Neurospora crassa OR74A: one gene and its partners. The protein of the gene in region 2 binds, or shares a complex with, the protein of the main gene of each other region. Links are inferred from orthologs where the notes say so. Each region holds a gene or a part of one and is shown on either strand. Other genes may lie near its edges.

The links.
Region 1: un-17 (region 2) and NCU08353 share a complex: the UniProt entries of both Saccharomyces cerevisiae proteins name them as parts of the cleavage and polyadenylation factor (CPF) complex. The link is inferred for Neurospora crassa OR74A from reciprocal best matches to the Saccharomyces cerevisiae genes PAP1 and YTH1.
Region 3: un-17 (region 2) and NCU03114 share a complex: the UniProt entries of both Saccharomyces cerevisiae proteins name them as parts of the cleavage and polyadenylation factor (CPF) complex. The link is inferred for Neurospora crassa OR74A from reciprocal best matches to the Saccharomyces cerevisiae genes PAP1 and SSU72.

The regions. Positions count from the first base shown.
Region 1 is NC_026501.1:5,651,308-5,662,179, forward strand, and holds NCU08353 (mRNA 3'-end-processing protein yth-1), read right to left. Parts: upstream 4,812-10,872; 5' UTR 4,492-4,811; coding exon 3,538-4,491; 3' UTR 3,301-3,537; downstream 1-3,300. Other genes in the region: NCU08355 (hypothetical protein), read left to right, coding at 62-164, 246-392, 469-1,025; NCU08354 (hypothetical protein), read left to right, coding at 1,497-1,529, 1,592-3,100; NCU11325 (alcohol dehydrogenase), read left to right, coding at 5,098-5,130, 5,199-5,334, 5,396-5,707, 5,768-6,300; cys-9 (thioredoxin-disulfide reductase), read left to right, coding at 7,083-7,164, 7,244-8,062, 8,125-8,228; NCU08351 (hypothetical protein), read left to right, coding at 9,055-9,105, 9,221-9,282, 9,351-9,504; NCU08350 (hypothetical protein), read right to left, coding at 9,843-10,748. UniProt on the Saccharomyces cerevisiae protein: RNA-binding component of the cleavage and polyadenylation factor (CPF) complex, which plays a key role in polyadenylation-dependent pre-mRNA 3'-end formation and cooperates with cleavage factors including the CFIA complex and NAB4/CFIB.
Region 2 is NC_026503.1:4,126,416-4,137,486, forward strand, and holds un-17 (Poly(A) polymerase), read right to left. Parts: upstream 7,447-11,071; 5' UTR 6,887-7,446; coding exon 5,987-6,886; intron 5,938-5,986; coding exon 4,939-5,937; 3' UTR 4,716-4,938; downstream 1-4,715. Other genes in the region: NCU08981 (dml-1), read left to right, coding at 576-647, 704-906, 1,045-2,115, 2,211-2,487; NCU08982 (hypothetical protein), read right to left, coding at 2,593-3,348, 3,541-4,365; NCU08984 (hypothetical protein), read left to right, coding at 8,269-8,310, 8,372-8,529, 8,621-9,510, 9,586-9,710; NCU08985 (protein tyrosine phosphatase), read right to left, coding at 10,021-10,469, 10,633-10,828. UniProt on the Saccharomyces cerevisiae protein: Polymerase component of the cleavage and polyadenylation factor (CPF) complex, which plays a key role in polyadenylation-dependent pre-mRNA 3'-end formation and cooperates with cleavage factors including the CFIA complex and NAB4/CFIB.
Region 3 is NC_026501.1:4,602,160-4,612,755, reverse strand, and holds NCU03114 (SSU72), read right to left. Parts: upstream 6,885-10,596; 5' UTR 6,720-6,884; intron 6,487-6,719; 5' UTR 6,427-6,486; coding exon 6,284-6,426; intron 6,223-6,283; coding exon 5,565-6,222; 3' UTR 5,134-5,564; downstream 1-5,133. Other genes in the region: spa2 (spa2-like protein, variant), read right to left, coding at 1-1,350, 1,425-2,432; NCU03113 (SH3 domain-containing protein), read left to right, coding at 8,764-10,551. UniProt on the Saccharomyces cerevisiae protein: Component of the cleavage and polyadenylation factor (CPF) complex, which plays a key role in polyadenylation-dependent pre-mRNA 3'-end formation and cooperates with cleavage factors including the CFIA complex and NAB4/CFIB.

The DNA of each region.
Region 1 (10,872 bases), on a different chromosome or scaffold from region 2:
TCTTTCCGATTTCTTTCTGCTTGAATGTGAATGGATGGCTGACCCGTCAAGAAACACGCAGGCATATCAATCCGCCGCCTCCTTCGTCCCCAAGCTGGCCACGAAGATTGTCCAATGGCTTGATCCCCAGAAAGACGATGTGATTCTGGACATCGGTTGTGGTGGTGAGTTTTGGCCCCGTCCCGGGAAAAATGACGCTCGCGAACAAGGCGTCACTGACAAGTGATAAAAACTTTCCTTTCCAGATGGCGTTCTTGATTTCGAGATCGCCCAGGTCTTTGAGGGAGGCCGAGGACGCTTGCACGGCGTGGACAGCTCCAGGGCCATGATTCAGGCTGCGCAAAAGAAGACATCGGATAATGCGCATCTGAAAAGCACCTGCACGTTTGAGGGTAAGTGATGTGACTGTCCTGTCCTGTTCCTACCGTAAAGTGTATGACTCACTCTCCCTCCAACACATTGTCGTAGTTCTCGACGCAACCGAACTCATCACCAAAACCCACCTGCACTACGTCCGCTTCAGCAAAGCCTTCTCCAACGCCGCCCTCCACTGGATCCTGCGTCCCGAAGAAAAGCGAGAAGTCTTCTTCCAGGGCGTCCGCGACGTGCTTGCCCCGGGGGGCGTCTTTGCCTTTGAGATGGGCGGACTAGGCAACGTGTCGGAGATCCGGGCCACGCTACTGGCCGCTGTCGGCAGGAGAGTCGGTTTGAAGCGGGCACAGGAGGTGGACCCCTGGTTTTTCCCCGACGAGGAGTGGGTGAGGCAGATGATGGAGGAGAAAGTAGGAGGATGGAAGGTGGAAAAGGTAGAGAGAGAATGGAGGCCTACAAATTCCGATGTGGGTGGCGTGGAGGGATGGGTGAGATTGATGGCTGCTCAGTTTTTGCAGGCACTGGAGAGCGAGGAGGAGAGGGAGGAGGTGGTCAAGGAGGTGGTGGATGTGCTGGAGGTTGTATGCGCTAAGCCGGGGGGAGGGTACATGTATAGTTATGTAAGGTTGAGGGTGCTTGCTAGGAAGTTGTGAGGTCAGATTTTAGGGCTATTTGGATGTTAGGGTCAGATCTAAAGACGTGTTGAAGCTTCTTTTGTGAGATGTTGATTTGGTGATAGGTCTAGGCTAGACGGATAGGTCATCAAATTTCTCATTCTTAAAAGCGTTATAAAAGCGTGTGCTTTTCAGCGTGTCACAGGAATGACGTTGGTGGTGGAGAGTCCCCTCGCCGGGGTAAAGGCTGGGGTACCTTGTTAGCTCAGGGCGCATCACCTATGCAGTAGCTCGGCTTGATAAGGTGCGCAAGGGTTGGATAGAAGCGATAAAAGAAAGCTTCTCCCCATCATCATTCCTATTGAGGCACTGTCAAGTCCGGCGCAATTCATATACTGCGACACTCGACTCTGCCAACTTACCAATCCGCGCCTCCTTGTTCACTGAGCTTGTCGACCATCACACTGTCGCCACCTCACAGGACTTGAGCAAACGCATAATTGAAACAACATGTCTGCGGACGACCAGGCTTTTCTGGACGTGGTAAGAAAACATACAAAGTGCCCGCATAGAACTCCACTAACAATGGCCTGGTTCGGTTATAGTTATCGTCCCTGCCCGGCGATATCAAGCGCTACTCTGAAGATGTCGCCAACATCGTGAACGAGAACGTCGACAAGATTGCCGAGACCGTCAGACACACTCTCGCGACCTCGCAATGGGTACCAGAACAGATCCGCCCTCGGCTGCCGCCACCAGCGCCTTCAGCCGAGCTGCCGATTTCGCTCTACAATAGAGTTGAGAGCTGGGTATTAAGAAACAAAGTCCTTACCACCGCCATAGTCCTAGCCACCGGATCCATTCTATATCGGTCATACACAGTCTCGGCTCACGCCAGGAAGACCAGGCGCGCAAGGCGGGCGCGCAGCGGAGGACGCATGGATGTCGTTGTCATTGCGGGATCTGCCAACCTACCTTTGACACGATCAGTTGCGCTGGATCTGGAAAGGAAAGGCTTCATCGTCTTTATTGTATCCAGCGGACCGGAGGATGATATTGCCATTCAGAATCTAGCACGCCCCGATATCCGACCGTTGGGCGTCGACACCACCGATCCTCTCAGCGCCAGCGCCTCCATTGAGCGTTTCGCGACCTACCTTCAGTCACCCCATGCGGCAGTCCCCAACAGCAAGCGACATCGGTTGCACCTCAAGGCCGTCATCCTCATTCCCTCTTTGAACTACCAGACCTCGCCCATCGCTACCATTCCTCCCTCAGGCTTCGCGAACCTCTTCAACACACACCTACTCCACCCTATCATAACCCTCCAGGCCTTCCTTCCTCTGCTTACCGCTCGCCTGGGTCCTACTCCCTCGGCCGAGTCATCATCCTCTGGAAGCGACAAGAAGAAAGACAGCCCCAAAATCATCGTCTGCACGCCCTCCATCATTTCCTCCATCAACCCCCCCTTCCACGCCCCCGAAGCAACCGTGTGCTCCGCCCTCTCCGCATTCACCGAAGTCCTGACCGCCGAGCTCCGCCCGCTCGCCATCCCTGTCACCCACATCCAGCTCGGTACCTTTGACTTCGCTGGCTTCACGCCCGCCTCGGCCGCGCGTGAACACTGGCAGGAGCGGAACTCTCAGGGCGTCCCGCTGCGCGCGCTGGAAGCGAACCCCCAGGACGCCGAGTCCCTGCTGCCCTGGCCCGACTCGGCCCGCCACGCCTACGGCAAGAATTTTGTCACCCAGTCGAGCTCGGCCATTAGCACGGGCCGCATCCGCGGGATGCGCGGCAGCTCGTTGCGGGAGCTGCATAATGCTGTTTTTGACGTGATTGACGGGTCCATTACCAAGGGCACTGTGCGCGTCGGCCTCGGCGCGAGCGTGTATGGGTTTGTCGGACGCTGGGTGCCGCGCGGGCTGGTGGCGTGGATGATGGGTATCCGGACGGTGGACGAGCTGGCGGCGTGGCAGTCGAGTCATAGCTCGTTTAATAGCCCAAGGTCGGGTGGCTCGGTGAGGTCTATGGGAAGCGAGAATGGGGATGAGGAGGAGGTGGGGACTGGGGCCCGCACATCGAATGAGTTGTTTGTTGCGGTGCCGATGGAGTAAAGTCTTCATGGGAATAGTTTGGAAGAGTACAAAAGAAGGCAGTGTCGACAAGAATGGCATATGCCATAGCATCTCAGACGGTGGGTTGATTATCATTTGGTTACGGGTGTCCTAGGTAGGGAGCGGCGTTCATGTTTTGGGATCTCGTCCCTCTCAGTCTATTTTGGAAGAACATACAGATCACAGCTCCTCAAAACTGTCAAGCTAGCAATTTTTATAAGAATCTCACAAACCCTGTGAATGTAAACCTGACCTACAGCTAATACACTAGATATAACCTTGCCTTTGCGCCGTGACCTATTCCTTATTCCGTGATGCATACCTGGTCTTTACTACCGGATTCCTGGGCCTTCTCATCGTCCGAGCACTAGCCTAAATATGTCGCTATGTTCATGTACCATTTGACCTCCCCTGGCCGCTTTGGGACCAATGTTCTCTTAATGACCTTTACCCCTAAATCCTCCCCTTCCTCTTCCCCTCCATCCTCCTCGGCCTCTGCCTCCTCCTCCTCCTCCTCCTCCGCCTCCAAAGCGATCCTTATGGCGATCATGCCCGCCACCGTCCCTATCGCGTCCCTGCATCATCATCTCCCTCTCCCTGTTATCCCGATCGCGCTCCCTCTCTCGGTCCATATACTCATTCGCGCCCGTCGCCTGCGCCATTCCACCACCCATACCATTAGCATCGCCCATGTGTTGTTGTTGTTGCTGCTGCTGTTGCTGCTGCAGCAGCATCTGATCTCCCTCCCCCTTCGCCCTCGGCTTCTCCATATCCTTATCCGCCGTCCACCTCGGATGCGCGCCCTCCTTGCAGCCCTTCCCATCCGGACAGAAGCCCGCCAGGTAATACAAACACAGCTTCCTCCGGAAATGCTTCTTGTCACATCGCGGTCCCAGCGGACAGAACCCCCTCTCGTAATGCGGGCACGGCGGCAATCTCGACAGCGGATCAATGTGCAGATACAGACACTCGTCCCCGTTGCTGCAGTACCCGTTCCTGACGAAGAAATTGCACTCGGGCATCTTGCGCAGGTTGTACTCGTGCAGGAACTCGCACGATTCGCCCTTTTTGCAGAGGCCGCGCAGCCAATGCTTGCAGACTAGCGAGCCGAAGCCGCCGCTGAAGGTGTTACCGCCGCCATGGGTGTTTTGGGACGACGCGGTAACGTGGCGCTCGGGGCAGTGGGATTTGAGGGGGCAGTTGCCTGAGGCGTAGGCTTTGCAGATGGGTCGGTCGGCGGGGAGAGAGTGCTGGTACGTGCGCTGGAGGAAGGGCGTGAAGGAGAAGGTATAGTGTGGCGCGGTGTGGTTGAGCATCTGAGTGACGAGTTGTTGCGGTCCTCCTGCCCCAGAGGGGAGGGAGTTTGTTGTTGTCTGTGTTGTTGTCGCCATCTCGGCGGATGTGTGAGGGGGGGAAAAAGGTGGTTCGCCGGTGCGATTCGGGCTTCAAGGTGGGTAGGCTTGTTTTGTCGCGAGCGGTTCACGATCGGTTCGGAGAGGTATGTAGCTGGGCGACCAGTCGTAATGAATCTTGCCTAGAGAATGCGCGTGGCTTGTGTTTATGCACGCTTAACCAAGAGTCGTATTCTTTGCTGCGTTTGCCCAGTTTCAAATTCGGCTTTGGTCGGGAGAAGTTCGCACAGCAGGTTGCGCCATTCAAAAAATTGAAGCAAGGTGTGGTTGAGAGTTTGGAGAGAAAGAGTGCAACAAGTCGCAAATCGATTGTTGGAAATCGATAAGACGTGGACTCACCGAGAGATGCAAGGTGAGTGACCAATCAGAGATCAGCTATCCCGGTCTGGGCTACCTCGGCTTCCCTTACACTGGGCTAGCGGTCACCCCCGCGATGGCTATTCGGCATTTGTTCAACCATATTGTACCCTTGTTTAATCATATAGGTTGTCATTCTTTCACTGCTTGTGTATCTCACTCGGTGTTTCTGCGTCTGCTTCTTTCCAGTGTAACAAAGCACTCTATTACTCCAGGTATCCTTCCCAGATGAGAGGCATTCAGGTGGCACAGTATGTTAAGGTATGTCCTATCTCGATCATCCAGGACATCTTCCCATTTCGTGGTTCTAACATTAGCCCTTAACTCAGAGCCCGCAAGAGCTCAGGGTCACGGAGCTTCCAGACCCTACACCTACTTCAGATGAGTACTTGATTGAAGTTCATGCTGCGGCAACCAACTTTTTCGACATTCTTCAGATTCAGGGCAAATACCAGAATCAACCACGTGCGGCTTCTTTATTGAGTCCCGCTTACATTGCATTCAGTATGCTGACGTTGCGTCTTAGCATTCCCCTGGGTATCAGGTGCCGAGTTCGCCGGCGTGGTTCTCGCCACCCCTTCCGGCCTCAAGGACCCCAAGTTCCCCGTCGGTTCACGTGTGTTTGGAGCTAGCCAGGGTGCGTACGCTACCAAAGTCAAAGCCAAGGAGACGGCCCTCCTCCCAGCTCCCGAAGGCTGGTCGCTTGTGGATGCTGCCGGCCTCTTTGTGACGGCACCAACCAGCTATGGAGCCCTTGTTGTTCGGGCCGGCGTCAAGAAGGGCGACTTCGTCCTTGTTCACGCTGCGGCCGGTGGTGTAGGTCTTGCCGCAGTCCAAGGTTAGTGGCATACATACCCGTCTCGAAGATGAACTACTTCGTTGCTAATCCCACACATAGTTGCAAAGGCGTTTGGAGCAACTGTCATTGCTACGGCCGGAACCAAGCACAAGCTCGAAGTCGCCAAGTCCTTTGGCGCTGATCATGTCGTCGACTACACGGACCCCAAGTGGCCCGAGATGGTGAAGAAGTTGACCCCTAAAGGCAAGGGTGTTGACATTGTCTACGATCCTGTCGGCCTGGTAGATCTGAGCACCAAATGTACTGCGTGGAATGGCCGCATCCTGATTGTCGGTTTCGCTGCCGGCAAGATCGAGAAGGTGGCCATGAACAAGGTTCTTCTCAAGAACATCAGCCTCGTCGGTGTTCACTGGGGCCAATACGCTGTCCATGAGAAGGAGACGGTGGTGACCGTGTGGCAGGGCATCATGAAGTTGATTGCCGAAGGCAAGTTCAAACCGACTGTGTTCAGCGACAAGGAGTTCGTCGGTCTCGAAAAAATTCCGGATGCATTGATCGCTTTGGGGGGTCGTGAGACCTGGGGGAAGGTGGTAGTTCAGGTCCCGCAGCAGGAAGGGAAAAGCAGGTTGTAAATTTTATGGATAGCTTCACTAGGTTCCGGTGCCGTGTCGAGTGTCGTTGACCACAAAATCTCCGTCGGCATCTGATGGAAATTGAAATACCTTCACCGATAACCCTAACCCACATTGTGACCTTTGTTTTTTGCTTTGGGCCTCGGCTGCAACCCGCGGACTGGCTGCCTCGGTGACTGCATAGAGCTGCAACCGAGGAGCCTCTAAAAGGCGGAACGACCCCGCTGGATGCAGTGGGTATTTAAGTGGGAATTTTGGTGAGCACGTCAGAGGGGCATGGCCCTGGACCCTGGGCGGTCCGTTAGGGACGTTTCCTCGAATGGACGGCGTCCATCCTTCCGAGTTCGCCCCCAAGCATGGAAATCCAGGCCGTTTTTTGAGGCAGCCGGGGTCTAGATACGGGATTAGAAATCGCGACTCGATTTGAAAAATGGCGCCGGAACAACGCGCCTGATCTGGCATCGCCTGGACTGTCTGACAAGATCGCAGATTGGGAGAGAAAGAAATCTAGAGATTATCAAATCGTTACCTTCCCTTTCCCGTAGATTCTTATTCTCCATCCAGTGACCATCCCCGGCTCTGTTTCCGCCACTTGTATCTTGTCTCTTGTTAGATCCGTTTCCCATTCGAAAACCCCACCAACCGCCAAACTGTTCTCCTCAACCTTTAGAAGAACTCTCCGATCCAGCGCATCTGGTCTCACAGTCGCTGCTGCCGCAACCGCCTTCAAGAAAAACACTCCGGTTCAACCTGCCGAACTTCAGGCCGTCACAAAAAGAAACATGCACAGCAAAGTAGTCATCATCGGCTCTGGGCCGGCCGCCCACACTGCCGCCATCTACCTGGCCCGCGCCGAGCTGAAGCGTGAGTTTCAATGCCATTGCGATTGTCGACGTCAGGTTACAAGGACCAATTCGCTAACAATTCCTCGCCCTTTGTACAGCTGTACTCTACGAGGGCTTCATGGCCAATGGTATCGCCGCCGGTGGCCAGCTCACCACCACGACCGAGATCGAGAACTTTCCCGGTTTCCCCGATGGCATCATGGGCCAGGAGCTGATGGACAAGATGAAGGCTCAGTCTGAGCGTTTCGGCACCCAAATTATCAGCGAGACCGTTGCCAAGGTCGACCTCTCTGCGCGCCCCTTCAAGTACGCTACCGAGTGGTCCCCCGAGGAGTACCACACTGCCGACTCCATCATCCTGGCCACCGGCGCCTCTGCCCGCAGACTTCATCTCCCCGGAGAGGAGAAGTACTGGCAGAACGGTATCTCTGCCTGCGCCGTTTGCGATGGTGCCGTTCCTATTTTCCGCAACAAGCACCTCGTTGTCATTGGTGGTGGCGACTCCGCTGCTGAGGAGGCCATGTACCTCACCAAGTATGGCAGCCACGTTACCGTGTTGGTTCGCAAGGACAAGTTGAGGGCCAGCAGCATCATGGCCCATAGGTTGTTGAACCACGAGAAGGTCACTGTCAGGTTCAACACCGTCGGTGTCGAGGTCAAGGGTGACGACAAGGGTCTCATGAGCCACCTGGTCGTCAAGGATGTTACCACTGGCAAGGAGGAGACTCTTGAGGCCAACGGTCTTTTCTATGCCATCGGTCACGATCCTGCTACCGCCCTCGTCAAGGGCCAGCTTGAGACTGACGCCGATGGCTATGTTGTCACCAAGCCTGGCACTACCCTTACCAGCGTTGAGGGTGTCTTTGCTGCTGGTGATGTTCAGGATAAGAGGTACAGACAGGCTATCACCAGTGCCGGTACGTAACCCATTGCCTCCCGTGAACCTGGTTTGGAAGAGTTGCTAATCTGTTATGCATAGGTACCGGCTGCATGGCTGCCCTCGATGCCGAGAAGTTTTTGTCGGAGCACGAGGAAACCCCCGCCGAACACCGCGACACCAGCGCCGTACAGGGCAACCTCTAGAGTTGATTTCTTGGATAGACAGCGTTTCGCTTAAAAAGTTGGTTCTGAAAATACAGGAATGATACCCAGAGTATGGCCGGCAATTTTGAATGCTTGAAATTTTAGATGTGCCATGGAATATAAGAGAGATGTCGGTTTTTGCCGCACCCGGGCAGTTCGTATATGTAGTGTTTATACCAAAACACCAGCGAACAAGGATTGGTCTCGTTGGCCTTGTGGAGCTATGACCCCCTACCCACGGAAGCACTTAAAAGTTAACAGCCTTAACGAGGAAGTCACGGATCATAATGTGATTCTCTTACATCAAATTGTCACACGAAGGAGGAACAGCCGTCAAGCTCAAGAGACTTCTATCGATCCTAACATTAACTCGTGTACTCGTCAGGTCTACAAATCGACGGTCTGACTAGCGCCCCGGGCTATGTGGATGGGATAAAAATTTAGCGTTGAAAGCCATGCGGGCCTCCCGCGCAAGTGTGGGTTAGGTACAGAAGAAAATGGTTATCTGTTTGACTGGCATCACCTTTCTTCAGTCGTATCGCAATGCGAACAACCTACTAGTTATTCAAGTGTTTGTTGGAACAGGCAGGAAGCTGTTCTGGGATCATCGCAGAAATGTCAGGTGCTTCCCCTCACTTGGCGTAGAGGTCTGATCTCTATTTAAAGAGGGCTTCTTCCCTCTGTTCTGCTCCCTCTTCTTCCTCTTGTTCTCCATCGCGAACACCAATTTCTCAATTGACCTTAACCGGCAGACGCTGCAGAAAAACCAGCCATAACTCGATCTTCCCCTTCTTCCAACTTGATCAATAATCACATCCTCCTTAAAATGTCTAGCGGAAACGGATACAGCTACAAGGGCCATGGCACCAACAGCCAGGTATGGTGTAGATACTCTTTCACTGTCGCTCACGTCTCCTTCATTCCGCCGGATTGGCCAATCTCCAGCCCAGTATAGAGGCAACTAGCAACGCTGAGACACTAACTTGCTGTAGGGTAACCACTACTGCGCCCGTGACTACGGCAACGGATCCAATGCGTATCACTACTCCAACACGTAAGAAAGACCTTGACTATCTCTCTGGGGAAGTGGAGCGACTAATCATTTGGCCAACAACTTGACAGTAATGGATCCTACTACTACAGCAACCCGAACGGTAGCACTTACTACAACAGCGGCAGTGGATCTTCCACGTACACCTCGCCCAGTGGTAACTCGTACTCGAGCTCCGGCTCTGGTTCTGGCTCTGGCTCCGGCTCTTCTGGAAATTCCAAGTGAGATGTGAGGGGAAATGCCTAAGAGGTGATGGTTTGGAAGCCAGGGAAGATACCCCGGTGGATGTTCGCTAGGCAAGGTGGAAATTAAAGAGGGTTGACAGGACCATGGCAGTTTTGAGAGCCAATTTCGTTGCACGAAAGAGACGCATAGCATTTGACTTATTGGTATGAACCCAAATGGAAACCCTATTTCACTATTCTGCTTATCTCGATGCTACCAAGCTTGTGATCGTCCATCCAAATTGTTCTTCCAAGTGACGCTTCAACATCCCGTAGGCTCAATCCTCTTTCACGTCTCTTGCCAACCAAACAGCTTCGATTCATCCATTCTGCCCGGTTCTAGTTCCATAGCGAAGCACTCAATCCCATAACCGCAGAAGCAGCTATCATCGCTGCTCTGCCCAGATTCAACACACCCCATTGATCAACCCAATACTTTGCCCCGACTTCCACAGCCTTCATATCCACCTTTTCGCCCAAGCCAACCGCATCGTCACCTTCCCTATAAGAATATTCCTCCTCTACGTCTCTTTCCCTTTCCTTCTCTCTTTCTTTACCCTTCCCCTTACCATCTTTACCACAACCCTCCCTCCCCTTCTCCCTCTCCATACCCTTTCCCCTGACCGACTGCCTCCTCTTCAGCCCCCCACTACTCCCACCACCGCCCAACTCCCCAACCTCCACATCCACTCCCTTCTGCCTCATAGCCCTCTCCACCGCCTCCGCCCTCGCCACCAACCTCCTCTCCACCCCTCCGAGCACCACCCACCCATACGGCGCCATACCCAACACCAACAGCGCTCCAGCGACAGCGTACATTCTCCCCCTCTTCACCAACTTCAACGCTTGCATCCCTCTCCCACCACTCACGATTTCCGAAGAATACCGAACACCAAAACGCCAGGCCAGCAAGAGATAGCCCAACGCCGCGGCGGCGCCGGCCCGGTTCAAAGTGGAAAACGTCTGCTCGTAGGTGCGCCGCCACTGGGTGAGCATGAGCGGGGTGGGCGACTCGAGAAGGCGAGGCACCAGAAAGAAGGAGAGGGAGAGGGAGGCGCCCGTGGCGGAGGCGGAGAGGAGCACGGAGAGGGATTGGACCACGTGTATGAGGGAGCCGGTTTGCGGGTTTAGGAGGGCGGAGAGAAGTGCTACGAGTGAGGAGGGGGCGAGGATGCCGGGATTGATGAGACCGGCGGGGACGGGGCCGGAAGGGGTCGGTGGTGGTGAGATCGAGAGGAAAGACATGGCGGGCTGGTTGGTTGGTTGGTTGATTGATACCCGCGGGTTATTGTTTTCAGAATGGTTGGCCGAGGGTATGACGAGACTCTCTTGTTATAGAGCTTGTGGTTCGCGAAATGCTCGGGTCGCT
Region 2 (11,071 bases):
TATGACGTCTCTACAATTCTCTTCAAGTATCCTGTATGAAACATTTAAGTTATTCTCGCAGCCCTCACAGCAGTACTGTCTTCTTGTCCTTTTCTTTTCGCCTCTTATCAAGGGCTATCAAGACATATTTCCGACGGGACCACCTGTCTGAGCTGTTGCGTCTGAAACTGTATAGATTAAAAGTTATTTACATTGATGCCTGTATCGCGATATTTGCAGTACCGTTCAATTTTACGAGCTCGTTGGAGACTTCATTTCTAGAACAGTCAAATCAGAATCATGTAGATTACACTTAGAACTGTGTTGGTGGTGATGTCGGCCCCTGAGATGAGCACAACAAGGAACAGGGTTAGGGTTACATTACGCAGTACCGACGTATCGCACTTTTGCTCCTCACAGGCAATCGACACAATCGTCATATGTCCGTTTTTGCTCTTGCAAATAACTTTGAGAGCTGGACTTAACAACCAACTTGGAGCCCATTGTTTGTCCGAAAAAACATCAAAGTTAGACAAGGGTTTCACAAAGACGCACATTTCATGTAGACATTCTGTGTTCTCTGATACAGCGACATAATGCATGAAATCATCACGCTCCAGCTCGGGCAGCAGAGCAATTATCTAGCCACGCATTTCTGGAATGCCCAGGTAAGCATGTTCATTGATTTCACTTGAAACCGGGGAAACAGCTGACACTTCTCGAGGAATCATATTTTACATATTCCGAGGATCAAGAGCCAGCCGTTAACCATGATATCCACTGGCGTCCCGGCATCGGTGCGGATGGCACCGAAACCTACATGCCGCGGACCGTCATTTACGATCTGAAGGGTGGCTTTGGGTCCATGGCAAAGACGAATGCGCTGTATAACGACCTTGAGGAGGGACAGACGCCTCAAGCATTGTGGTAAGTTGGGCATCAATCTCGGTCTGGTGGACATCTTGCACCAGATTCCGTCATTTTCGATCGACATCCTTCCAGCGTTCAAACCCATCCTCCCTTTCGTCTACCTCCTGACTCACCTCCCCTCCTTTCTCGCCACAGGAATGGACCAACCGTACTCCAAAAACAGCCCGCCATCCCACAATCCGCCTATCAACAATCCCTCGACGCCGGCCTCGAGCCCCCTCCCCTCACCACGGACACCGTCCGCTACTGGTCTGATTTCAACCGGGTCTTCTACCACCCGCGCTCCGTCGTTCAGCTGAACGAGTACGAACTCAACTCATCCATCATGCCGTTTGAGCGCTACGCGACGGGCGAGGATCTGTTTGCGTCGCTGGACAAGGAACATGACCTTCTCGATCGGGACCTGCGGCCTTTTATCGAAGAGGCCGACCAGATGCAAGGGATTCAAGTCATGACAGGCTTGGACGATGCCTGGGGCGGATTTGCGGCAAAATACTTGGAGAGGATAAGAGACGAGTACGGCAAGACGGCCATGTTCGTTTGGGGCAGCGAGCAGGAGTCGGTGATGAGGGCTGGCGGATTGAGCAGGGAGAAGAGACTGCTGAGACTGGCGAATAAGGCAAGGACAATGACGGAGGTGTATAAGTATGCGAGCGTTGTCGTGCCGTTTACGGTGCCTGCGACGCTGCCGGGGAGTGTGGTGCTGGATGCGGGCTCGCAGTGGCATAATACTGCGCTGTCGGCGGCGGCGATAGAGAGCGTCACGCTTCCGTCGCGGCTGAGGGATCCGGCGAACAGGGATACGATGGCTACGCTGGCTGATTCGCTCAATGCGATGGGGAAGCAGAATGTGGCTAGCTTGGGGATGAGCTTTGCTCCAGAGCCGACGGAGGAGGAAGATGTAGTCATGGAAGGGACGCAGGATTTCAGGCAGAGGCAGTTGCTGAACCAGAAGTCGAGTAGACATGCGGCTGTGATGGTGAAGGAGAACCCGGAGGGAGTGTTTCTCGATATTAACTTTACTCCCACCGATCAGTTGGACTATGTCCGTCGCCGTGGTGGCGGCGATGATGACAGACCGAGGGTGTTCAGCCAGATGCTTACCTCGAGAGGTTATGAGATTGATGAGCAGGTGCAGGAAGCCAAGGAGGCTGAGGAGGACGAGAGGTTCCGCAGGAGGAGCTCGTACGAGACTGTTATGAAAAGGTACGTTTTCTGTGTTTTTTTCTTTTCTTTTTTTTTTTTCCTTTTTACTTTTTTTTTTCTCGTCATCTTTTGCTAACAAAGTCCCTCTCATGCAGTTATCACACACCCCTTCGCTTCCCTCTTCTAGACAGCTTCCCTCAGATCTTCAGGGATGACAGTGGTGAGCCACTGAAGAGAGGAGGAGCGATCAATGTCACTAGCAGTCTGTCTACGGATGCTTCAGTGCATAAGAGGCTGAAGTCGTTGAGGACTACGGTTGGTCGGTCGATTGGATTGGAGGATAGGGAACAGCTTGGAAACGAGCTGGCGGAGATGGCTGATGAATATCATGAGGGGTGGTCGAGTGGAAGTGATGATGGAGATGACGATTGATCGGTCGACGCAGCAATCAACAACGTGTTCAAGCGTGAAGCAGACAAGACGATTACTCCCCGAGGTCCTTCCGCCTTTACACCAGACATTTCACTACCTGGGTATCTAACCATCCAAACCCAACAACGCCCCAATCAAATCCCCCTCCCCTTCCATCTCCCAGAAATCCATCACCACAACTCCCAACCTCTTCCCCTTTAACCCGTCCGGCCCATCATCCCTCAGCAACGCCAACAACTTTTCGTTAACTCCTCCTTTCACCGTTCCACCGCCAGTCACCTTGGGGACACCTTGCCGTTGTTCTTCCGGACCAAGCGCCATAACCTCCGGCGTAATGTTCGGTTCATTCAATACATGTTCCCCCGAGGTGAACGTGATCCACAACCCATCATCCTCATCATCCTCCCCGCGTGCACCCAGTCCTGCCCCGGGACCGCTCGCAGCCCGTAAATGGCCCTCCACAGCCTCCCACTTAGCCATCACATTCTCCGTTACACTTCCATTCATCCCACTCGGCAGGTCGTTAGGTTCAAAGTAGTCCTCTATATACGCCGTCTCATTCCTCTTTTCCCCCTCTACCACACCCAAGTCAAGTTGGTTATAAACCAACTCAAAGCCTCTATTGTTCTCCGGCCATAGGCTAGGAGAAAAGTTGAGTCCCGGTACAGCCAGCTGTTGATCGAGAGGCAAGTCGGGCAGGTCGAAGCGTTTGAGGAGGACGATCTTGCCACGGGCGTCTCCCAAAGTGGGCGGGAGGGAGTGTGACGGGTAGATGAAGCGGCGGGCGGCCGGGGTTGTAAGGAGGGAATGAAGGAGGCGTTGGACTTGTGGGGTGTTGGAGGCGTGGGAGCGGGTTGGGTGCTGTTAGTCTGTTAGCGAAGGGAGCGGGAGAGGCGGTAACTTAATGGACGGTGATGATGACCCCTTTTGTTTACATATAACCCAAACCAGTTATACCCACCCCAGATGAAACCCAAAACCAGGGCATGAAAATGTGTAAACGAAAGAAAGAAAGGAAAGAAATAAAATGAAAAGTAAAGAGAAGAAACTCACCTCATACTGCAAACTAACCATCACCACCTCCCCCGCTCCCCTCCCCTCCAACCAACTATAAAACCCAAACAAAACATCCTCCACCGTCGCCACCTCACTCAACAAAGCCATCTTATGCCAAAACACCAGTCTCGTCCCTTGTCCTCCTCCCCCTTTCCCACTCCCACCCGTACCTGTATCCAACGCAGCATACCGCAAATCAAAGAACCGCACCCCCGCCTCCAACGATTCCAAAATACTCTTCTTCTGACACCTAAACCATTCAGCCGGCAAGTAGCTCGGATTAGAAGGGATCGAGTTCCTCGTCTCAGTAGTAAAGTTCCAGGTTGCGCTGTCGTGGGTTCCCGGAATGGCTCTGAGGCGGGTGAGCGGCAGGGAGTCCGGGAGAGGGGTCATCCATTGTGCGCGACGCTTGGAGGCTGCGGACTTGTTGAAGGAGGAAGGGAAGGTGCCGAAGATTTGGCGGCCGTCACCGAGAATCTTTTGGAGGGCCAGGTCGGCTACTGAGGAGAAGGAGTCTTCTTCTTCTCCAGGTTGTGATGGGGAAGGAGAGGTTGTTAATGGGTTGCCAGTGGTGAGGTCTGTAAGGAGGGAGAAGAAGAGGAGGTGAAGGACCCAGAAGAGGACGGCCATGATGCATACGGAGCTGAGGATCGCGCGGTAGGAGGTTGTGGGTAGTAGGCCGCGAAAGCGCTTGAAGCGCCGTGGTGAGGATGAGGGCGTGGATGCCGCTGCCACTGTCGGTGAGGGAAGATGAGGAAGACTCCGAGGAACTGGCGCAGAGAAGAGCGGCGAGCGCCCAGGTTTTAATTCCTGGTGCATCATCGCGGCATAGCGGATGGAAGAAGCAAGTGGCTTTTGGGGTCCTCGAGGGTGATACCCGAGGTACTTCGAGCGGGTTTACACGGCCAAAGTACTTGAGACAAGATAGAATCCTCAGTGAGATGTTGGGTTGAGGATCTCGAGACAGGTGTTACTGTGTATCTATTTGTAGGACATGCGACCGACGATCTACGGGGGCGAACGTGCAAGCTTTGATTGGCTGCTGGCATTTTGACGTTGACATACTGAGGCGCATATGGCGTTTTCCCCCGAGTACAACGGAACTAACAGCTCAATTCATTAGCAGAAGCAATCGACGCAGCAAAGAATTTGTTAAGATGATGTATAATAGAGCAAGAAGTGAGATGAAAAGTCACGGACGCAAAGACCACTGCGAGATGGAAACTTGGCTTAGTTGATGGGGCACTTGTGCCCCGAAAAACTAAATTTATTAGTCTAGCAGATTTAGCAACTCTATCTTAGATACATTTCTCTACACCTCGCGCGTGGTACTGCTCGCACATAGCAACTAATTTGTCCGTGACCGCCAACAAAATCTGTCTGTACATCCTTCGATCAGTGTTCGCTCTTAATGGTCGGTGGCGCGGTCGCCATCTGTTGTCGCTTGGCCATCGGGCCGTTCGCATGTTCCCCTTCGGCCATACGCTTCTTCTTCTTGACTGGCCTAACAGGCTTCGTCTCTCCAGGCTCGAAAACGTCGTCGGGGAGATCGAAATTCCTAACGTGCTGGATAGTCAATCCCATCAACTCTGCTTTGAAGATGTCGTTCGAGGTGCACATTGCCTTGAAGTCGTCGACTTCTCTGGACAGATCCAGAGACTTAGCTCCCTCTACCAGCTGCAGGCCGATGTAATGGTTAGTGGTGTAAATCTCAAGCTCCGGCTCCTTCTCCGGTATATCCTCCAGCTTAACCTTGTCTTCGTCGTAGTCGTTGGCCTCAGGCTTTACAGAGTTGTCCTCAGGCTTTAGAGGTACCGTTCCTAGATGTACCACGTCGTTCGGTTCTTCCTTGACAGCCGGCACAGTCGGCTCCCGTGCAACACCATCCTCCGTCTTGATCTCCGCCTTGACCTCAACCTTGCTGTCGTTCTTGGCGCTCCCATTCGCGGCTATATCCGTCGGCTTGACCATGTATGTGAGATTTCCGGTTTGAATCTCTTCGACCTGAGCATCCGTCTTGCATCGGTGCACTCTGTCGTAACCTTTGTTGAAGGGGCGGGCAAGGGCGATGGAAGGGTGCAGCTCAAGCTTCTGGACCAGAACACGCACTCTTGACTCGACGAAGCCCGACCAGGTATTCTGCGCCTCTTTGGTCCTGCCGGATGAGATGACCGTCAGGTAAAACTTGAAGCCGTTGGTGAAAAAGGTGTGTTTCTCGAACAAATCTTTCCAAGGCCTTTTACCCAACATGATCTCTTCGGAAATCTGCACCCCCCGTTCCAGCTCCTGTTGAATGACCGCCATTGAAGACCTTCCAACATTGTGTGTCGCGCACATGGAAGGGTATGATGGGGTGATGATGGGCATCTTGTGATTGCGATCACTCGGGTATATCTAGTCTGTGGTGAGACATCAGCGCGACAATGATGAGGGGTTGACTTACCTTGGGATTCCACACCGCTACACGCGTAATGGACTGGTTGTATTCGATATTCTTCAGAAGAACCGGGAGCGGCCATGGCCAGTTGAGCATAATAGTGAAGAATTTCCTGACGATGACAGCACTCGTCGCCTTCGGATAGAGTTGGCATACTCTGGCGACCAGCATAGCCCAAGCCACACCACCAGGATAACCCATGATATTGGCGTAGATAGCCCTTCTCTGAGCCCAGAGCTTGATTGCACGAAGTGCCAGCTTGAACGTCTTCTCTTCGGGAACCAGCGCAAGGATCTCGTCGGTTACGCGTGTTCCGTTGAGCGAGCGCACCTCGTTTTCGGACAAGCCGCGCAGGAGGTTGTTACTGTTCAAATTCCAGTCCTTGTCGTCAGGAAGTTGACGAAGGCTCTGGATTGAACAGAAGATAAGATCTATGCTGATGCCCGAATACTCGAACTTGATGATAGGAACGAAGGCCTCGGGTACTGGAGTCAGGTCGGTGATGGCGCCAGGGGGAGCCATTTCGACAAGAAGGTTGGGAAAGATGTCGAAGTATTGCTTGACGGTGACGTACTTGGGTACAACGACGAGGGTATCGATATCGGATCCTGGCCCATACACACCCAAGCGAAAACTGCCATATGTGAATATTCTGCCTCGAGCGTCGCGAATCAAAATGGCATTGTGCGGCTCCTTTTCCTGCGCGGCCCTCTTCACGAATTCATCAGTAATGCGCTGGAGATCTGCGAGCACCGCCCATCGCTTATCAGTTTCGGCCTGACTTTCGAAGGTGCCCTGCGCGCGCAGCTCTTTGAGAAGGGCCTCGGTCTGTCGTTTCTCGGCGTCGGTAGGTAGCGTGGTCGAGATAGGAGGCGTTACGCCCAAGGTTTGTTCGGGGTTCGACATGGTGGCACGAAGCGCGGTGGGACGAGGAAGCGTGCTGGATGCGCCGCTAAGAGTATCGAAGACGAAATATGTCGTGCAGGACTGATCGATGACGCTGGTCGCGACAAGAGGAAAACTGGATCGCGCGCGCAAAAGAGAGGAGCGCAGGCGCAGTGAGAGAACGCTGACGGGCGAAAATAGAAGTCTATGATGGGATTGAACAGAAGGAACCAAGCAGCTCCACGTAAGGCAAAGAACGCTCAGGTCATGATATGCTGTGCTTTTTGTTGATTCGAAAGATGGTGATACCGGATAGCTGATTGATTCTGATATCGACCCTGGGGCAGTCGGAGAAGCCGAAACCAGACAGGGTGATCGATGGGGATGGATGAAGGGGCTGCGTTAGGTAGGTTGTCGCAGAAGACAAAAAGCACGTCGCCGACTCGGCGCGTCTCGGTTCAGCCTGGGTGTTGAGCACGGACTCCCACTCACCACAAGTCTGGCAGCATGATTGGCGCGAAGCAATGTCCTGTTATTTCAGAGACGCTGGACACTGCAACTTGAAATGCAACCTGCAGGAATCACCCGTAAACCTCTGACGAGTATCCTGGGACCCGCACGGGGATACCTAATCTCCACTGAAATTCAAGTACTTTGGTACCCCCACCATAATAAGACGGGTATCATGTTGGCTTAGGTTTTGGTGTCTTGGTTCCGACAATTCAGGGAGTCAAGCTCTGAAAAGCTCAATCGTCACATTGCAAAGGCCGCTGGACTGCCGCATTTCAGGTAGAAGAAGGTCTTCCCCAGACAACCCGACCTGTTCCTTCAAGTACCTAGGTAGGTAGGCGTAGGATGTCCGTCTGTCCACTTCTGGGCATCTTACAGTACATTCGAGTAACGCCATGGGGACAGGTGAGTTGGCAGAATCAGTTCCATTTTTGCAGTAAACATCGGTCTAATATTCAGGGACGTATTCTATTATATCGGCTGTAAGTACCAATTCAACTTTGGTCTAATGCTAGGTACGTACCATCGGAGTGAAGGTCAAATGACGATAGAGTAGAAGTATGGATTTGGAGAACAGATGACATTTCAAAGCTGCCGCGGCCCCTGTGGAAGATGGGATCTGGCCCCAAGCGGCAAGCAAGGGCAAGACCGGACCAGGTGTCCATGCATCATCCACTGGAGTTCCCCTGGGAGGTCCCTTCCATAGCGCGGCCCCGCCCCCACACTGGCCCTGCAGGCCCCTGCACATGACGCTGCCGCTAGATGGAGGATCACCGTAACAGCCGGGGCAACGTTGAAAGTTTACATGGGTGTCGCATCTGGATTCTCTCGGCCTCCCCTACACTACATCCATTTTGCACCACTTCCACTTTGCTTAGTCTCAATGGGGAAGGATGAAAAAGACATTACTTCTCTGCTTCATCCACGGCTTCAAGGTATGTACAATGAGATTAAGCGACGCGCCAGCCAAGATCAAACTGACATTGTCATGCAAAGGGAGGTGAGTCGACCTTTGGCGACAACTATGCCTTCACCGAGCACCTCCGCCAACTTGTCGCGGCCGACCTACCCAAGATAAACGTCAACGTCGTGGTATATCCCAAATATGAGACTCGAGGGGACTTGGGCGAGTGCGTAGCGCGATTTCGAGATTGGTATGTGCTCATCGACCGCATCCGTTCCTTCATCTGTCACATGCTTGAAGCCCCGAACCATCCCTAACATGGGTCGCCCTCGCTATCACAGGCTCATGAATAAAGTCATCGACCTCGAAGTTGCCGCCGGAACCTCATCGCCCACCATAGATCCCTCGGTCCGCGTCGTTCTAGTCGGCCACTCCATGGGCGGCATCGTCGCCGCCGAAACCGCCATCGAGCTCTCCTCCGACAAGCCTATCCACGGCAGCACCGACCCGGCCGTCGAGGACCCGAAGCTGGACCATCGCACCGCCGACTCCGCGCCTCTCCATCGACCACCCAGCCCCAGCTCGCTCATGTTTCCCTATATCCAGGGCGTCCTCGGCTTCGATACACCCTATCTAGGCATCGCTCCTGCCGTCTTCGCTCATGGCGTCGAGGGTCACTATGCGACGGCTTCGGCGGCGCTGTCGCAACTGAGCAGCTTGACAAGTTTACTCGGAGCGAAGGGGGCGCAGGTGCAATCGAACGCAACAACGCAGAAAAGACAGATGGCCGCTCTGCCGGCGCCGGAAAAGAAGGAGGAGCAGCAGAGGAATAATGGCAGCCCCTGGGGGAACTGGGGCAAGATCGCCATGGTCGCGGGCGCAGCGGCTGCTGCAGCGGCTGGAGGAGCGGCGGCGTACTACAATCGAGATCAGATTACGCAAAGCGTGAGCTGGGCGACGTCGCATCTCGAGTTTGTCGGGGTGCTTTATAGAAGAGAAGAGCTGCGGCGCCGTGTGGCGTACATGGTGCGGCTCAACAATGACCTTGGGGTCGGTTTCGGAAACTTTTATACCCGGTTGGGACGGGCCGCGGGGTCAAAGGAAGTGAGCATGGTCGGGACTGTGATGGGCAATGAACGGACATTTTGCGTCCTGCCTAAAAAGGATCCCGCTGGGGACTGGAGGGAGGCCATCAACGATAAGGCTAAGGACGAAGTAACGGCACATATCTGTAAGTGCACCCCTCCCAATCTGTTGGAGCGAGGTCTTTATACATACGTGAAGCGAGTACTGACACTATTCATAGCCATGTTCGACCTGAAGGACAACCCTGGCTATACCAAGATGGCGCATGATGCTAGAGATATGATTGTTAAGTGGTTGCGGAACGACTGGTATGAAAGCAGTAACGGTGATGTCATTCGCGCATAGAAGCGCACCCTAATAACCGTAACCTTCCATCTAATAGCCCAAGTCATTTCGTTTTTTTCCCATCATAATCCGTCTATCATTATCTTTAAATCACGGAAACTCTTTGAAAGTATTATGTATATTCCCCCGATTAGCTCGGCCGCAGAATCCACAGTCCAAGTGGCTTGTAAAAATCATTTACCGTGACCACGACATTTCAACAGCAGGGGCGGGTAGGCTGTGAGCATACGTCGCACGCCAGTCCAGCCCAAGCCAAACCCCTCCTCTTTACAACAACCACAGCCTAGGTAGTCTAAAACTCTGTAACCCCTCACTGCCTCTTCTTCTCCTTTTTCTCCTTGATAGCACCACCACCAACCTGCTTCCTCCTCTGGCTCAACATGTGGCTATACAGCACCACCGAGCCAGGGATATACGACAACAGCACAGCAACCAGCGCATAAGGGTACCAAGTCGCGAGCTGATCGGCCGGACCCACGAGCGCCTTGAAGATCATGGCCACCTCGGAGCTGATGCCCATTGGGTACAGCACCAGGAAGGCGCTATACCGCAGCCAGTGCAGCCAGTAAGGAATGAAGTCGACCTGCTTGAGCGCAAAGTAGCTGTACCGGATCACCTCGGTGGTGGACCAGGCCGTCAACATGGAGGTGTACCAGGCCGAACTGTTGAGGTGCGGGAAGGGGTACGAGATACCCCAGACGAGCATCAGGCGCGAGGCGACTTGCATGACGGTGGTGAAAATTGGGGCGGGGACGATGCCTGTTTTTTTTTGTGTGTGTGTTAAACATCGATTAGCGTTTGTTTCCCTAAACAGGTAGTAGAGAGAAAAGGTAGAGGAGGGGACAGAGATAGGGACAAGGATGAGAGATGGAGACTGAGACGGGATCCGGGTGGGGGCAAGCGTCGGGCAAGCAAGGCATACCGGTAAGAGCATGGAAGATCTCCATGACAGCAAAGGTCTGCGTAACACGAGCAAAGTCATCGACGACCAGCGGTACAAAGGGCGCGCCCTTGGCAAAGTAGACGGACGCGACGCGGCCGAGGATCGTGGCCCAGGCGACGGCCGAGGCGGCATTGTAAAGGACTAGGTAGCCCTTGCGGAGAGCTGAGCCAGCCATTGTTGGTGTTGTTTGGTGTGTGGTGTGGTGTCGATGTTGTTTCGGTGATCAGTTCGGCGGACGTGGGAAGATGTCGACGGATGTTAAGGTAGGTAATGATTTGATGCTATGAACGTGATTGACGGACAAGGTAAGTAGGTGATAATGGATTCCCCAACAAGACGGGACGAGACTGCTCCGAATGAACGCGGGGACAACAATTTTCGACCCGAACCGAGACCGCGGCAGGTGGATTCGCGCGTC
Region 3 (10,596 bases), on a different chromosome or scaffold from region 2:
GGCGATCTCGCCGCTCAGTTGGTTGATGTTGGCGTCGCTGCGAATCAGCTGGACCAGGTTCTGGATCGTCTCTACCATGACCGAGGTCTTGTCCTGGAGATAGAACTTGAGGTCCTCGACTCGGCGAGGGTCCGGAGCGGTGGGTTTGCTTTCGGCGTATGATTCGCGCGGCGAGTTGGCGCTGTAGGCAGACGAGTCGACACTAATCCTGCTGCCTCCTCCTCCTCCTAGCCCTTGGAAAGCCGGAGGTTGCGCTAGTACCTCGTGGGCAGAGGCGACACTCGAGGTCTGGCTTTGGCCGTTGCGCGGAGAAAAGAAGCTGGCTGAGCCGACGGGAGTTACTGTCCCATCATCCTCCTCTTCCAATTCACCGGCAGGCGTGGTGCGGATCTTGGCGGCGCGGAGCAGCTCGATGACTGCTGCAACCAAGTGAGATGCAGCTGCATCAAGCAGAGATACAGGAGAGATGCCCGCGGAGCTGGCAAAGTTCTTGGATGCGGTGATCAGGTTGTTGGCAGTCGATGATACCCGAGCCTTTAGCTTGGCCTTCTCTTGGAGAATGCTGTCGTTTTGTGGATTCTCGTCGATATCCTTAGCGATACGACGGACACTGACTACGACTGCTTTCATAGAGTCAATTACGCGCTCGGGGTTATCGTTGCGAGCGCGCTGCAGGAGCTCGTCTATCGCAATCTGGAACTTGGTAACGTGAAGGTCCTTCACAAGCCCAGAGTCTTCGACAAAACCCTTTTCCCGTACGTATTTGCCGGCGTTCTGCTCGAGTGGTACACCCTCTGACGAATCACGCATGCTGCGTAACTGTGTTTGGGTGCGTGCATATCGACTTCTCCATTCCTTGACTTCCTTCTCCAAACTCTCAATCGTCCTCTCCAACTCCGTTTGTCTCTCCCAAGCAGCCCCGCTTTGTTGAGACAACGTCCTCATCTCCCGCAAGAACTCCTGGGCCTCGCGACGGACCTCGTCCGTTATTTGCTGCTGTTCTTGCAAAGATTGTCGCAGTTCCTCGTTCTCTCGCGCCAGATCGCCGTCTCCTTTGCCGCCTGATTGTCGACCATCCTCGAGTCCTTCCCGAAGCTTTCTCGTCTCGTCCTCATGCTCCTCCCTGATGCGGTCGAGTTCCCTTTGCAACGAGTCGTTCAGTTCCTGGGCCTCTGCCAGTTTCGTCTCCAAGCTTTGCCTGGTCTCGTCCCAATCTTTCTTGTTGCCATCCCCGGACTGCATGTTATTCAGCTCCTCGTCCTTCTTCCTCATCTCCATCTCCATGTTGTCGACCTTTTCCTGCAGCTCTCTGACCTGATTTTCGTAGTCCTGAATAAGCTTCCTGTCGGCCTACGTTGAGTTAGCACATGACAGTATCCCCGAGGGCGAAAAAAAAAAAAAAAAAAAAAAAAGGCGAAACTGACCTCGAACGCCTGGCCCATAGACCTCCTGCCATTGCCATACATATCACCACCCTGACCTGGGCTCATAAGGTTGCCCTCGTCGTCCTCCTCGACCATGGTACTCTTGTTTGGGACGATTGTGTTGCTCTGGAATTGTTTTGGCATGGGACGCCCATAGTCGCCATTCGGCGGCAGGCCAGGAGATGGGGGAACGCCGTAGCCACCATTCATCATAGGGGGCATCGGAGGACCGCTCCGTGCACTTCGTACTGAGCTCGCCTCCGAAGGGCGTCTGTGACTTTGACCTCTGGGAGGGAAGCCGCCCATTCCGTTGTTTGGTGTTCCCGAGCGGCTTGGCGGGCCACGCATCGCAATCGGGCTGGCATTGAGAGGCATCTCCAGATTGGCGAAGTTAGGATACCGCCTCTCCAACTCGCAGAAGACATCGGTGGCGAGATCGCGAAACCTAGGAGGACCTAGGGACGACAGTTTCTGGCGAGCCTGGTTCCGTTTAGGATGGAAATTATCCTGAGGCAGAAGAAAATCGGGCGGGGCAGTCTCGGGGGGAGCATTAGGTCCTCTTCGGGCCACCTGTTCGCGGCGCTTCAATTCATCATAAACATCGGTACTGAGCTCAAGAAACTGCACCTCAGTAAGGCGTTGCAGCTTGTCGCGGGCCTTGTTCGGCGGCGGTTTCGGATTGCCGTCGCGTGAGGTGGCTGACAGATAGCGCTTGAGCGAGATGTAGTGGTCGGACAGAACCAACTCCTGGTTTTCCCCTTGTTGACTCTGGCTCTTTACACTCCTCGCATACATGCCGGTGCTGGATCGGCCAACGGACGGTGGAGGAGAGGGTGCCCCATTCGGGCTCTGAGGCATCGGGGAGAAGCCGCCGTTCATAGCGCCGGCAGGGTTCGCGGAGTCGGGAGGAGTATTGTATTGTCCGAGATTGTTGTCGTTCGGTGGATGGTTCCAGTCGCTTGGGGCGCCTTGAGAGATTGGTGACAATGGTGCATTGCGAACATTCATGGTATTCGTTCACCGCCCGCTTCCAATCGACCAGTCGGACGCAATAGGAAAGATGGACGTGGTGCGCAAATGACAATGGAGGCTTGATGCAATTGTCTTGTCGTCAACCCGTGTGTGTCCCTAGTAAAGGCGAAGGTAGCCGGTTCGTGGATACTTCGCGGTCTCAGCAAGTAGAGGTACAGGCTCCCAAAAGACGCGGACTGTCGCAGAGCTGGTGTTGAGACAAATCGAGCATATGCTGTGCGCCCTCGACAGCAGAAGGGTCTCGCGGGTGTTCCTCGTGGCAGGACTTTGTGTTACTGTGGGAGCATGAAACGCATATCGGTCAACCTTTGAATTCCCCTTTTGGAGGCGCGAAAGGGAAGGGGGACAAAGGGAGCGGGATCATGAACAGGGGGGGTGGTACACTACACTTATGCGATGCCCTGCGCGATGTCGCCAAACAGAGTGGCTGTTCCAGTTGCCGATCGAAAGCCAGGAGTTGGAATGATGGGAGAGGTTTCGCCTCAGAAAGAATGGACTGGTCGACGGCTTGACTCGTAGCGGTGTTTTCAGATGCCCCTTCTTTGGATGATGGATCGTGGCGATCTTTTGGGTGGTAATAGAGGTAGCCCTCAAGGTTAACGTTCGGCTTGGCGGGGGGGTGTACCGAAAGTGTGGACAGCGAGCGAGTGGACGGCGTCTTTGCTTGTTAGTGCCACTCAAATCAGAGCAGCTCTAAGACAGGCGAAGGGACGTAGCGCCGGGTAGGGTATGTAGGTAGATGGCGTCCAGATCCAGACGGTTGATGGCGGAATTGGTGCAGTGGCAGGACGGGAGAAAACGAGAGACCAGGACGGGATTGTTGCTCGCTCGCCATACGGTGCTCATTCTCTTTTCACCTTTCGCTGGCCAGTTCCTCACGATGCCGGGTAGCGAGGTGACCACGATTCTTGGGAGAACGGCTCCTCTACTGTGTTCCGGGCGCGCAATGGATTCAGTTGGAAATGAGGAACCCACGAAGAGCCCACCACGACTTATCCAGGATCGAATCCAGCAGAGCCCCTGATCATTCAAGGCCCCAATATGTACAGTGGACGATGTTCTCCGAGGAACAGTAGGAGGCACAGTGAATGGTTTGAGTGAGAGCGCCCGGGGGCTCTGACCACACTGGAAATGGTGTGACCGTTCAGCCAATCAGAACCAATCCCTGGTATACTTGACCCATCACTGCCGGCGTCAGGGGTGAGTTCCCTTCCTATTAGTCGCGCGCTACGGCAGGTACGGATTCCCACAGACAATGGAAGCCGGCGCAATTACCTTAGCTTCCACAAAGGTGCTTGGGCTGCCAGTGCATGCCTCTACGTAATTACAACTAGTGTGGGGTGGGAGAGCGCGGAGAGTCATTTCCAGAACCAAAGTCAAACACCAACGATAGGTAAGGAGTGGTATCTTGCACATCTCGGGACGTCATGTCGTTACGGGGACGATAGGAGTTGGCTCATCGGTGTCTGACGGCAGTGAACACGATGGACGGTCAGCACTCCACCACTTTCCACATTACCACGGACTGTCGTTAGACTTCTTCTATGTACAACACTGAGGTTTGAGATTATATATGCGGTCGCACAAAGAAGCAAAGTGCCGGGCATTGTTGGATAAGAAGCACTGCCCTACCAAAACCATAACAACCACATATGTACGCAGCTATTAGAGGGGATTCCGAAAGGACCGGGACCGGGACTGGGACAAAGGAACCGAGCCACCATGGTCTAAATGGAGAGGGAACTGGACCCAGATCCATTCCTTGTCGGCCTCGAATCCCCTCATATTCGCATCTCGATGTCGGGCTTCCTGGGCCCTAGCCCCGGCCGTCGACGTACAGTGGGAAGTGGGAACAAAAGCCTGATATCAATCTCGGCCTGGCACTTAGTAGGCGACCGAGCAGCTGTTGTTCCCTTTTCCCCATGGGAGCAATTTAAATAGTCTTGTGAGACACCCCGACAACTTCCTCTTTCGAGCCCCTTTCTCACATGGTATCCTGGCCTCAGAATGCGTCTTCATCTCTGACGGGATCGCCAACTTCAAGCCCCCTTCGCATTTCTACTATGGCAGGTCTCTCATGTTAGTCAACGGTGATCGACTCTGCGCCGCTGCAGTGGTTTATCATTCCACTAAAACGTCTCGTTGTGAAACAGCCCAAGACCGGCAATCGTCTGCCGAAATACAATGCAATTCTTACTTGAGACCGACGATATAGATATTGAGATTTATCCACATGGGTATGTAGGCATACCCGCATCACATCAAATGCCACCTCGACCTCGGGCACTCCCGCCCAACACCCCAACATGATAGGTAGTGACAACATGCATTAGCAGTAACCTTAATGGTCTTCGTCTTCCAAGTGTGTGTCCAATGGCCACCACAGCCCCATGTATTTCATTTTTGACCTTCGCGCGTTTAGTTGCATTGTCACAAGTAGGCCTGCTCACTGCGGGGGCACGGCCGGTTGCCCGGTTGTGCATGTTTCGATATTTTCTAGATGCTGGCAACCGTTGAGTACCCCAGATCCCAATAAGCAAGGAAGATCTCCAAAATTCTGCTATGTTTTCTTTGCATCCAATGTTGCGTATAATGAACCGTGCGGCTCGTCATCTTAAAATGCTTTTTGGGATACCATGCAGGGTACTCGTCAGGTGGGCCGATGAGCTCCCATCTCCGAGCATGTATGCATGCGATATTATTATGTTTGTGATAGAAGTAAGCATATGCGTAACAAACAAAATGCTTAATTGGCGGTCTGGCTGGTGGAAGAGGAAATGGCCTGCCAAATCACGGAGGTCGACATATTCTGAGAAAACCAGGAGGGGTGCGACCTCACAAAATAGCAAGTTGAAGCCAATCATGGCAGCAGCAGAATTCATAAATCCCGGATAACAACGGCTTGTTGATAGAGATTACGAGTCCAAATCAGCATTATGTTGTGACGGCCAAAACGTCTTGTTCGTCTGTGTTGTTTGGTCATCAATCATGAACCCAAAAAGATGTACCCCCCACCCTGTCCGTAACCGCGATTACGCCCGCCAGGCAATAAAAAGAACATCCAACGCCTTACGATGCACGAGCTCAAACAATACGCCAATTCAATGCTTAGAACCAAGCCAAAGTCCATGTCGCAGGAAGATTCGGCCATCTCTCCTGCCACTCGGCCAGGACGTCCGGTACGCGCTCATCGAATCCTGATCTGGCGCCTACGCTTCCCGAGTCAAAGGCAGAAGCGCCAACCTTCTCCCGCTCCTCGGCAGCAATCTTGTTGAGTGAGTCTGCCAAATCGACAATGGCTCGCCCTCCCACGGATGCCTCTTCATGGTTATCCTTGATATCGATGTTGATGACGTGAACAGGCCTGTTAAGTGGCGAGCCACGGTTGAGAAGATCTTCAATCACAGCATCCCAACAGCGTTCCTCACAGGTGATGACAACATCAGCTACGCCGCCCTCCATGCCATCAGCTCCCTTGTCATCCTTGTGCTTGGTTCTAGGCATTCCAATCTGCCAGTCCTGCCATCGCTCAGGGCCCCACTTGACTTGGCGGTTTCTCCCAAGCATGTTTAGCAGTCCATTTGCGCGATATAAGCGAGGGTCTTTGGCTTCCAACTCCCGATATATACTATCGTATGATGTTTCGTTGAACTTGTAGACATTGGGCTGTGTAATGGACGGCCCGGGGAGACGGACAAGAGAGCCTGTACCAAACGAAATCACGGGATAATTTGCAAGAGAGAGTCGCAAGTGACCTTCCATGGAGCTGGTGAGGGTTAGACGGGGTCATCCAGTTGCGTGACGATGCGATGCGTAAAATTGCTCACCGATTCTGGTTACTGGCGCAGACGGTGCAAAACTTTAGCTTGAAGCCGCCAGAGTCTTCACGCCCACCGTTTTGACCATTCTGCTCATTCTGGTCCGGCTTCGATGAGCTCGCGGCACCAGTTGGGGTATCTACAGCAGACATAGCCGGCAGTTGCAGGTAACTTGTTACTGTGGCAGATGTGGCATGCTTGACTGGAAAGACCTAGAAAGCGCAAGATGCCAATGTTAGTTATCAATGCGTTCCCTTCTGCGATACAGACATGGCAAGTGCAAAAGTGTAGGTTGTCCTCGGTACACATCAGATAAAAAAAGCGTATGTAAAAGTTTGTCATCAAACGCCAGACATAGCAGGCTACAGACAGCTCCAATAAAAAGATCATCATAAAGGAAAGAGACGGTTGATAAAGGGAGAGCGGAAAAGAGCGCAGGAATTACCTTTCAAGCTTCAGCTGAGCGCAAAGCGCAGACAGATGATGATTAAGTTAGTCGAGGTAGCCTGCTACCACACATATATAACTTGTTAAATGTCGTTGATGTCCAAACCTGTTCACCAGTTGCTGCTGGCGCGGAGATTTTGGACGGTGAAAAGTGGGATGTGGAATTTGGAACAAATCTGTTTGGTTACCGACTGCGAGGGACAAGTGGTGGTCATACGCACATAGTGCCCCATCTGACCGCTTTCCAAAATTAGAACGTTTCAGTGTTTCAGAGTGAAATGGTGGGTGGCTCGTGCGTCTTGCAGCCCGTTGCCCTTCTTTCCGTTCTCGTCAACTTCCCCCACCTCTCGAGTCTGCAGCGGTCCGCGGATATGCACTGCAGAATCACAGTGAGACGATCCCCAGGTATTTTTTTTTTCTCCCAGGACCCAAACCTCACGGGCCTCGAGCCTCGGTCACCATGCGTATCGATGCACTGTAGAATATCGTGCACAGAACATTGGAACTTACCTTTTCAATAACTTTTCTTAAAAGGTCCCACACAGGGAATGCGCAACTCATAGCTAGTGCCTTGGGAAATTCCATGGGTACCACGTTGCTGTTCGGGACGCATTCACGGAGCCAATCACCCACATCGAAGGCATCGAGAACATCCAATGGTGGACACAAACATGCAGTGATAAACATCCCTGTTGGGACGGGAAGTTGAGAGTTTCGTGCGAAGTTTTTCTTCGTTGGAACATGTTAACCAACAATAGAGGCACACGTAGAAAGTACATTTGCAAATGGCAGTATTACCCGCGTGGTATATCCTGTTTCGATATGTGTTAGAACGTAGAGGTATTTTGGGCGTAAAATCAAATTCAAGTTTTAATCTCCGTGGTTGACACACAGAAACTGCAGTGTGTCCTGCAAGTTGCCCGCCTTTGTCAACGAGAGCTGTCCTCTGAAGTGGACTTTTTGAGCCCCCCATACCTAACCCCGATTCGTTACCCAAAAATTTGCCAGCCATCGTCTAGGTCGACACTAACAGGATAAGCAAAGAGGTTAGGTATGTTGGTCCAAGGCGACCGAGTCCCGTCCTCAGAGGTTCGACTGATTGATTGCAGGTGACCAGCGGTTGCTATTTGCCAATGAGAGGAGCAGGCCTAAACCTGGAGTAAACCTGCGGCAGCGCGCTTAACTTTGTCCAAGTTGTACTAGAGGTATCCCGTCGTAAGTAGAGGTAGTAACTTGATGCGGCACCCCCCCCCCCAAATCTACCTACCTGTTCCTGCCTGAGATTCTGCCTCTTTTTCTTCTCCTCTTTTCTTCGAATCCCCCTCCGTTCCCACCATACCCTGTCTATATTGACAGCTCGCAATCGCTCATCTCAGCTTGCCGACCACACAAGGCCTCTCCATGTCTATACAAGCTCTTTAAGCTGACAATTGCCCACCTTGCTACCCCAGTGTGCCCCTTCGCACACTTTCACCACTATCTTTTCTACATTGCGTCCCTCACACGGGATCCCTTAACGAATTCGGCCTAAAACCGAAACACTCAGAATCCAGAGCCCTTACATTTCCGAGACTTCAGACGACGGACAAGCGAACCGTTGAACAAGCCGTTGGTAGTTGTGGCCGCTTTGCAAGCATCAAACATTTGCAAATCGATGTCCGTGGTCCACACAGCTACATGCCTCATCTACACAATTGGGCGCTATAAGTTTACCGTCTCCCTAGCCCTACGAATCTACGATACACGGACGGACCTCAAAAACCACACGTATTCCCCGCCTCGACAGCACAAGGCAAAGCATTTCCGCCCGTCCACCACAGGCTGGTCAGCCCTTCCCTTCGCTGCCTAGAGGTACTCGGTCTTCTAACCAGACTTGAACCCTGGCCAAAAAAACACCCTGGTTCCCACGGCAGCGACGGTCCGGCGCCCTGGAAAGGATCCACAACAACAATTGATTGTCCGGGCGGCGCATTCCAGGCACGCCAGGCACTGCTAGGCTATAGGCTTTGCTAACCCCCTATCTTTTTTCCTTTGCCTCGACCATGACGGCGATCATATCGCCAGCCTCGTCTCCAGCGACCTCTCCGCCCGCCATCGACACCTCGGCCTCGACCTCAGCCGCTCATCCCCCACTTCCTCCGCTCATGACCTCGCCGCCCGCTCGCAGGAGCGCGCTACCGCGGCCAATGTCGCACGCGTCCAAGAACCGCCTGTCGCAGTACTCGACTGTGAGCTCGATTCCCTCACGCTCCCGGCCGCCCTCTCAACTGTTCCCCATCTATCCATCCAGTCTGCCGTACACGCTGGTGCGAGACTTCGCCTACCCCGTGGGTCATCCTATGCACTATGGACCCCCACCGGAACCTTCGCGGCCACCCTCAGGCATGACTACCCCAGCCAGCGAGCAACGGCGCCTATCTGACCCTCCGACATCTTGGGATCGCCACAGCTGGGAGAACTCATGGAGCAGCGACGGCTGGGGACGGGCGAACGATCTCCCCGCGATGCAGTTCGCCGATGGTCCTCCGTGGAGCGAGGATGAAGATCTTCAGAGCCCTGTGGTCAGTTCGCGACACAAGAAGAACAAGTCAGCTGGCGGCAGTGGCGGCAGTGGCTATGGTGCGGGAAGGAGCGGCGGTGGTTCGGTCATGAACCCGAGCAACTACGACCGGGAGAGGGGTTACTACGTTGGCACCAGTGGGGATGGCAGCGAGCGCTACTACGTGAACCAGGGAGGCGAGGCTAACGGGCCGGGCGGCGAGTACGTGACGTATCCGGCCGATCAGGCACGCCACAGCGCATACCAAGTTGCCGACCAACAGCCACGCCAGTACGAAGACGATTACCCATCCGACTTGGACGACTCCAGCCCTGGTGGCTATCACGAGACGGACGAATCGCGTTATTCGCGTGATTACCAGTTTACAATTACCTCTCCCGATGAGGAGATGCACGGTAAGGCCGTGGCGCTGTACGACTTCCAGCGGGAAGACGAGAACGAGTTGCCTTTGGTTGAGGGTCAAATCATCTGGGTGTCGTATCGACACGGACAGGGCTGGTTGGTTGCGGAAGACCCGAAAACGCAAGAGAGCGGACTTGTACCAGAGGAATATGTGCGGCTGCTACGCGATATCGAAGGAGGTATGAACAGCCTCACCGGCCAGCTTAGCGAAAGCCCTGTTAGCCCGGTGGAAGCTGGAACACCGACTCAGGCGGAACACACTGCTGCTACCTCTGGCGGATCTTTTGGCCACACTCCCACACAAAGCCTAAGCTCCAACAGTGGTGGCGGGTCTGGTGTGAATGGCAACAACAATAACAACAGCAGCAACAACAACAATAATAATAACAGCAGCAACAGCAACAATACCCACTCGACACCAATCTCAAGCTCCAATACCAATGGGTATGGACACAGCCACTCTGGGTCCGATTACAAGTACCATCAGCCGGTCGTATCAACCTTCTCAACGTCAAGCAAGGACCTCGATCCCTATCCGCAACACCTTTTGGGAACACAGGCTGGCCAAGCTCCACCGCAGGTCGTCCACTATCATGGACAACGGGGTGGCAGTCAAGCGAACACGCCCACGAACTTATTTCATGATGCCGGTTTGATGCGCCGCGGCAGTCAGGACACTGTCGGCAGAAACGAGAGGAGGGGTAGTGAGCAAGGGACGTTGCAGACCTTGCTTGGCGCGAGGCTGGAAAAGACAGCGAAAGAAGCTGCAATAGAAAACCAGAGTATCAGCGAAGAGGCTGAGCCGGAGGTCGCGATGGATCTCAAGCCACAAAAGACAGGGGAAGCGGCAGCGGAAGCGGACAGGTGATGAAGGTGGAATGTGCAGGGGTGGTGGTGATGATGATTGCTATAT